Elephas maximus indicus: one gene and its partner. The protein of the gene in region 1 interacts with the protein of each later gene in a biochemical or structural test. Links are inferred from orthologs where the notes say so. Each region holds a gene or a part of one and is shown on either strand. Other genes may lie near its edges.

Region 1 (3,743 bases):
AATGACTCTCGGGCCGCTGGGGGCTTACCTGGATCCCTAGTGCGTGTGATGCTGTAATACGCCCTGCATAAACAGAAGAGACATTGAGTCCCAGGTTTTTAAAAGGGAACCCTGCTCCAGGGGACAGAAGCAGAGTGTCAGAACCAGCCAAGAGTAAAGGTATCCTCCGCGCGGCCCTGTTGTACCCTTTTTGCTCGTTAGAGAAGTGAGGCCGAGCCTATCTGTTGACCCAGAAACTAGAAAGCGAGCAAAGCAACCAGCGGCGGGAGACGCTCACGAGGGCCACAAGAAAATACGGCCGCTGTCGGGAGCCGGGAGGCTCACAACTCTGCTAGTTACCTAAAACCAGGTAGGGGTGGAGAAGCCACACCTGGAGACGGGCGTGCCTCGCTCTCGGTTCCCCGCAGAGCTGAGGTGAGGAATGGCAGGAATTCTCGCCTGTGGCCCCCAGCTTCGACCAGCCACCGCCATTTCCAGCGCTGCTCCCGGAGAAAAATAACCAGCAAGCACGTTGCGGCTCCTTTAAGGCTCCTCCTCGCCTTCCCGCCCCCCCGATCACGTGACGCGGGGCGGCCGCGCGCCGGCTCGGCCCCTCGCGCGAGCGGCGATGGCGGCGGCGGCGGGAGCTGCAGCGGCGGCGGCGGCCGAGGTGCGGAAGGGGAGGGGGAGAGGCGGGTGCATGCCCGCGCGCGCGCCCGGGGGAAGCGCGCACCCGTGCAATGCTCCGGGGGTGCAACGGGGCCGGGGGGCCCGGGCGGGACTTGGAGCAATCCGGGGGGCCAGCACCGGGGGCGGATGAGGGGACCAGGGGGTGGGAGGTGGGGGGAGTGGGCACGGAGGCGCGCATGCAGCCGCCGGCTGCCCCCGAGTGGGTGGCGGGCGCCGCGGCCCCAGCGGCACGCGCGAGGGGCACGAGGGGCCGTCCGCCGGGCTGGGGGGCAGCGGGCGCTGGAGGGGTTGGTGCCAGGGGTCCCCGCGGCCTGGGGGACAAAGGGGGAGCGGCGCGTACAGCCGGGAGGAGGGGGCGGGGCCGGGGCGCGGAGGCCCCGCCCCCTCCCCCTCCTCTTCTCTCTGCCCCAGAGATGCGGGGTCTACCGAGAGGGAGGGGGCTGATGCGGGCTCGGGGGAGGGGTCGTGCAGCCCCTCCGGGCAGCCGAGGCCGCGGAAGGGGGGGCACCCATAGGGGGAGAGGTAGGCCCCGAAGCCTGCTCTCTCTTCCCAGGGCCCAGGCGTCCTGGGCCCCCCAACTCCCTACTGGGCTGACCAGCTCTCCCGTCCCCTGTCTCCCCTCCCAGGGGGAGGCCCCCGCTGAAATGGGGGCGCTGCTGCTGGAAAAAGAGCCCAGAGGAGCCACCGAGAGAGGTGAGTGTGCGGCAGAAACGGCCCACTTGAACCTTCATCAACCCCCAGCACAGGATCCCGTGAGTTCTTAGCCCTGAACTTTTTTATCTTTCTTATCAGTTCATGGCTCTTTGGGAGACATTTCTCATAATGAGGAGGCCCTACCCAAGGCCAGCCCTGATCCCCTGGAGCCGGCAGGCCCCTCATCCCCAGCTTCTGTCACTGTCACCGTCGGCGATGAGGGGGTTGACACCCCTGTGGGAGCCACACCGCTCATTGGGGATGAGCCTGAGAGTCTCGAGGGAGATGGGGACCTCCATGGGGGCCGCATCCTGCTGGGTGAGAGGCTGGGGAGCCTGGGGTCGGGGGGAGTACCATGGGGGGGTCCTCCGAGCCTTCCTTGTTATTTTACATTATGTCTGCCTGTACGTCTTGTCTTCTAGGGCATGCCACAAAGTCATTTCCCTCTTCCCCCAGCAAGGGAGGCGGGGGTGCCTGTCCCAGTCGGGCCAAGATGTCAATGACAGGAGCTGGGAAGTCACCCCCCTCAGTCCAGAGCTTGGCCATGAGGCTGCTGAGTATGCCAGGGGCCCAGGGGGTGGCAGCAGCAGGGCCTGAAGCCCCTCCGGCCACCACCAGTCCAGAGGGGCAGCCCAAGGTCCACAGAGCCAGGAAAACCATGTCCAAACCCGGAAATGGACAGGTGAGGGTGGGGGCAGGGTGGGGGGAACTAGGGTAATTGACCATAAAGCCCTTGTGGGCTTTTTAAAAACTTAATTTCAGGTCTCTTGTAGCTCATTTACTTATTTACCAAGGACCTGTTTTTGTTGCCTGTCAAGTAATGGGCTGGGGCCTAATCTATGAACAGACGCTGTTCTTCTTAGAGTTTATTTTTTCAGAGAAAAGGAGGAGAAAAAAAGACATGTTAAAGAGTTAATTGTATAGTTAATGTCTTAATTATTTTTGTGATAACGAGTATGTAAAGGAACTTCAAGGCACTTTTTCTTTCTACCTCTAAGCAAGCCCTCAGGGGGATGTTTCCCTCCCTTTGAAACCTGTCCCTGCTCCGTTTTAAGGTTTTATTGGGAATTCCTACGGGAAAGAATGTGAGGGCCACAGAAATGGCAAAGAAGGTAAATCACAAAGTCCCCAGAATCTCAGAAGCTTTATGGTAGGGTTTTTAAGGGCTTTTGGTATGATCTGTCCTGAATGTAAGGAGCCCTGGTGGTGCAGTGCTTAAGTACTCAGCTGCTAACCGAGAGGCTGTTGGTTCGAATCCATCAGCAGCTCTGTGGGAGAAAAACATGGCAGTCTGCTTCCATAAAGATTTACACCCTTGGAAACCCTGTTCTACGGAGTCGCTATGAGTGGGTTTGGTCCTGGATGTGGTTTTGGCCGTTTTCTCATCTGTAAAATTGGAGTAGAGGGTCAATGATTAGAAAGATAAGTAAGTGCTTGATATGGAAAGTGGTTGATATCTTGTTGTTATATTCTGGTTCTTGGAGCACCAGATGGCATTTTTGAGGGTATGTCTCACCAACCTGCTCATACCTGGGACTCCAGGCTAATCAGCAGAACTGTAGGTGCTCCCTGATCCCAAATGCTCCCTCTCACCCCCAGCCCCCAGTCCCTGAGAAGCGACCCCCTGAAGTACAGCATTTCCGAATGAGTGACGACGTGCACTCTCTGGGGAAGGTCACCTCAGGTCAGTTTCACCTACTACCCACCCGCAGCCTGACAGTAGCCATTCTTGAAGGTGTAGGGCACAGGCCTCATCCCTTTCATTCTCTCCTTCCAGATGTCGTGAAAAGGAGGAAACTGAACTCTGGAGGTGGTCTGGTAAGCCAGGAGAGGCAGGGAGCGAGGCCTTCCCACCTTGGGAGGGAAGGACTGCTTCAAGGGTGTAGACTCTGCGGCCACACCCTGCGTCCTCGAAGTGGGGGCTAATGGGAGTGGTTACCAGCAGCCTCAATTTTTCTGATCTTTTTCTAGTCGGAGGAGTTGGGTTCTGCCCGTGGCTCAGGAGAAGTGACCCTGCAGAAGGGGGACCCTGGGTCCCTGGAAGAGTGGGAGACGGTGGTGGGGGACGACTTTAGTCTCTACTATGATTCCTATTCTGTGGACGAACGCGTGGACTCTGACAGCAAGGTGAGGTCCGCAGGCCTGCCCTCCCCCACCAGCACTCCCCCAGGTCCAGGGGTTTCTCACCAGTCTTTGTTTTACTGTTTATTGGCTTTTTGTTTGGATTTTATGATTCTCTTGCTCTATAATGCTATATAAAATGCTTTAAAAATCTAACACAAGTACTTACTGGATTGTCTTAAAGTAAATCCCAGGTACCGTATCGTTTTATCTGCAAGTATTTTTATGTGAGTCTGTCAGCATAAGGAGCCCTGGTGGTG
Region 2 (3,743 bases), on another chromosome or scaffold:
TAACCCCACTAGCTCCACATTCAGCTGTGCCCCCCTCTCAAGATGCCCCATCTCTAGATGTGCTCCCCACGTCACGGACCGCCATCCCCTTCGTATTTCTCGTGCACCTGTAGCTCTCTCCTCCCCAGATTTGTCTCCAGTATGTAGCTGTCGCCCCTCTCCCAAACGCGAGCCCTGTATCCCCCGCATCTAGCTGTAGCCCCTGCTTCCCAGAGATGCTCACATCTCCAGATGTGCCAGTTACGGACCCTGCACCTACAGGTGCGTGCCGCATCCACTGTGGCCAGTTCTGCCCCTGATATTTATCTGTGGCTCTTCCACACGCACAATCCAGCTGGAACCCTATCCTTCTCGCTACGGCCGCCATCCTCCCCAGATGTGCGTTCTCGTCTGAAAATATCCCCTGATCCAAATGGGCTTCTTCACCCCCGACGCTTCCCCACATCCAGCCGCACCTCCCCCCACTTTGTTCAGCCTCATCCAGTCCGCTCGCGCCTCCCCAGCCCCTCCCAGCCCCGCCCTCAGAGGCCCCTCCCAGCCCCGCCAACCCACCCAGCTGTGCCTCTCCCCTCCCCCAGATGTGCACCCTTCCCGCCCCTCCCCATTCACCTACCCGCCCCGGAGCGGCGTCCGCCTCCCACAATGCTCCGCGCCAACGCCCGACCGGGCCCTCGCTCCCGGGATGCCCCGCGCGGTCTCCCGCCTCTCTTCCCGCCGTGCCTCGCGCAACCTCTTCCTCCTCGAACCGCTTTCTTCCCCGTCCGTCACTCCTCGGACCCGCAGCCACACCCGCAGGCCGCTTCCCAGCGTGCTCTGCGGAAGGGTTCGCCCTACTTCCTCCTCTTCCTAGGCCACCTCCCACTCGGGGAACTACAACTCCCAGCGTCCTCCGCGAGGACGGCGGCCTCGGGCTGAGCGGAGGTCTCTCGGGTCCCGCCCCTCGACTAGGCTCCGCCCCCGGCTGCGAAGTCTGCGCGCGAATTCCGTGGCGCGAATTTGGGTCTGCAGTCGCGCGCGGAGCGGATCGGAACAGCGGCGTGGGGGGCCAGCACAAGGTCAGTGGGGCGTCCCGCGCGGGGCTGGGGGGCTGGGGTGGCGCCCGTGCCGAACGTTCGAGGCCCGTGGCTTCGCTGGGCCCGGGGTTGCTGCAGACAAGCTGGCGTGGGGGAAGCTGAGGCAGCGGAAAGGGGCTGCGAAGCATTGGAGGGGCGGGGCGGTGTCCGCGCGAGGAAGTGGGGCCAGGGAGAACGTAGACGAGGTCTGCAGACTATGGGACTGGAAAGGGCCTGAGGACAGTCCGGCTGGAGGGGTGGTGCCATCCAAAAGGGGCAGGGACAACAGTCATGGTCGGGGGCGGGACCACCCCGAAATAGGAAGTCTTCGTTGAGGGGCCCTGAAAAGGGTTGTGGATGGTCGGGGCCAGGGAGAGCGTTGTCGTGGGCGAGGAGAGGGAGCTGCTATTTATAGGAAGGGTAGGGAGCCGTGCAGCCAGTTGGAAAGGGTGGGCCAGACCGGACGGAGGTGGGCCCGGCCTGGTAACTGGTAAAGTCCAGGTCTAGGTGAAGAACTTATGAAGGGGTGAGGAGCCCTCTGGGTAGGGAGGGGTCTGGTCTGGTGTTTGCCTGACAAGGGGGCGGAGCCAAGGAAAGGGTGAGGAAGGGGCAGGACCTGGAAACGAGTGGGGCCCAGTGGATCGGAATGGGCCAATGCACCTTATGCACAGCCGCCACCCGTCTGTCAGTGGAGGCCTGCGTGTTGCTTTGGTGCTGAACAAAGACGGGCTAGGAAGAAAGGCCTGGTGATCTACGTCTGAAAATCAGCCAGTGAAAACGTCATAGAGCACAGTTCTATTCTGTCACACGCGGGGTCAGCTTTAGTCAGAATCAACTCTACAGCGGTGAGTTTGCCTTTGGTTTCGTGTAAACAAACCGTAATGCCTCCTAAAGTAGAATAAAACCACTGTAGGATGCCGTCAAGTAGATTACAACCTTATAGGACAGCGTAGAATTGCCCCATAGGGTTTACAAGGAGTGGCTGGTGGATTCGAACTGCTACCCTTTTCGTTAACAGTTGTAGCTCTTAACCATTGCACCACAGGACAGAGTAAAACTGCCTTCTAGGGTTTCCTAGGCTGTAATCCTCATGCAAGCAGATTGCTAGGGCTTTCTCCGAGGAGCTCCTGGGTGGGTTTGAACCACCAGCCTTTCAGTTGACAGCCGAGCGCTTAACCATTGCACTGCCTGATCATATGGTCGGGGACTGGATTTCTTTTACTGTTTGTCCCCAGAGCTCCAGCACACCAAATGTCTTGGAAAATGTGTGTTTGGTGGGTTTTGTGCATGGCTGTTCCTCAGCGTGTGCAGAGATGAATTGGCCACAGTCCCCCACGGGCTGCCAGACTGGCTGGGAAGAAAAGATACAGACTTTTAAAAACGCTTTACGTAGGGGATCGATGAGAACTTTCTAAAGTGAGGGACCTAACGGGGCTGTTCCGATCACTGTATTACTTACTGGTGTTCCTGAATTCTGAGCTTTGGGTTGTGTACTTTAATTTTTATTACTAATTTTAGGTTAATCACTCTCTTTTTTCTTTTTATTATAAAAATTTTCAAATATACAGAAAAGTGGAGCGTAGGATAATGATGATATACCCAGCACCTTGATTTTACACTTATTTAGTTCACAAGAATTATTTTTTGTTATATTTTATTACGTATGTTTCAAACATATATGAAAGTAGAGCGAGTAGTGTAATAAACCCCTATGGACTCGTCACCCAACCCTGTAATTATCAAAATATGTCTGTTCTTATTTCATCTATAAATGTGAAAAAGAACGAGTTGTCAGAGGAGAACTGTGCTCCGTAGGGTTTTCAACGGCTGATATTTCGGAAGTAGGTCACCAGGCCTTTCTTCCAAGGAGCTTCTGGGTGGACTCTCACCTCCAAATTTTGGTTAGCAGCCAAGTGTGTTAACCATTTGCACCACCGGGGATTCCATTTCATTTATAGTCTCCCTCTACTTGCAAAAAAAAAAAAAATTATTTTAAAGGAAATTCGGACATTTGCTGAAATATTTTAAGTAATATACAGACGTCATGACGTTTATTTTATCAAGTGTCTCTAAGCAGGAAAAATGTTTTCCTATATAACAACAATACCCTTTTCACATCTAACAAAATTAACAATAATTATTTGAGATAATTTGAAGTTGTAAATGGACATGAAGAGGAGCCCTGGTGGCACAGTTGTTAAGCACTCAGCTGCTAACTGAAAGGTTGGCGGTACAAACCCACCAGCAGCTCTGCAGGGGAAAGATGTGGCGATCTGTCTGCATAAAGATTACACCCTTGAAAACCCTATGGGGTAGTTCTACTTTGTCCTGTAGGGTCGCTGTGAGTCAGAATGGACTGTCGACAATGGGTTTGGTATTTTGTTTTTTGTTTTTTTGATAAGGTTATGACATTAGATAGCACTGACTCGTAAGTTAGTCCTGTACATGCTCTTTCCGTTTATTTTCTTTAAAGAGAAGTCCTTGATTTGGTGCTAGCGTGTCTTTCCTGCTCTAACTTTCACCAAAAAAAAAAAAAAATACCCCATTGCTGTTGAGCCAGCTCCGACTCATGATCACCCCATGTATTACAGAGTAGAACTGCACCACAGGGTTTTCTTGGCTATAATCTTTACAGAAGCAGATCGCCACACCTTTCTTCCATGGCACCACTGGGTGGGTTTGAACCACCAA

The links.
Region 2: of the proteins of EHMT2 (region 1) and LIG1, one has a biochemical effect on the other in vitro, tested with the Homo sapiens proteins (3 studies listed by BioGRID). The link is inferred for Elephas maximus indicus from reciprocal best matches to the Homo sapiens genes EHMT2 and LIG1.

Annotation. Positions count from the first base shown.
Region 1 is NC_064819.1:93,416,427-93,420,169, reverse strand, and holds the start of EHMT2 (histone-lysine N-methyltransferase EHMT2), read left to right. Parts: upstream 1-1,082; coding exon 1,083-1,362; intron 1,363-1,461; coding exon 1,462-1,680; intron 1,681-1,784; coding exon 1,785-2,044; intron 2,045-2,961; coding exon 2,962-3,046; intron 3,047-3,139; coding exon 3,140-3,180; intron 3,181-3,333; coding exon 3,334-3,489; intron 3,490-3,743. UniProt on the Homo sapiens protein: Histone methyltransferase that specifically mono- and dimethylates 'Lys-9' of histone H3 (H3K9me1 and H3K9me2, respectively) in euchromatin.
Region 2 is NC_064829.1:100,826,823-100,830,565, forward strand, and holds the start of LIG1 (DNA ligase 1), read left to right. Parts: upstream 1-902; 5' UTR 903-1,055; intron 1,056-1,393; exon of another isoform or gene 1,394-1,897; intron 1,898-3,743. Other genes in the region: uncharacterized protein ZSWIM9, read right to left, coding at 224-225.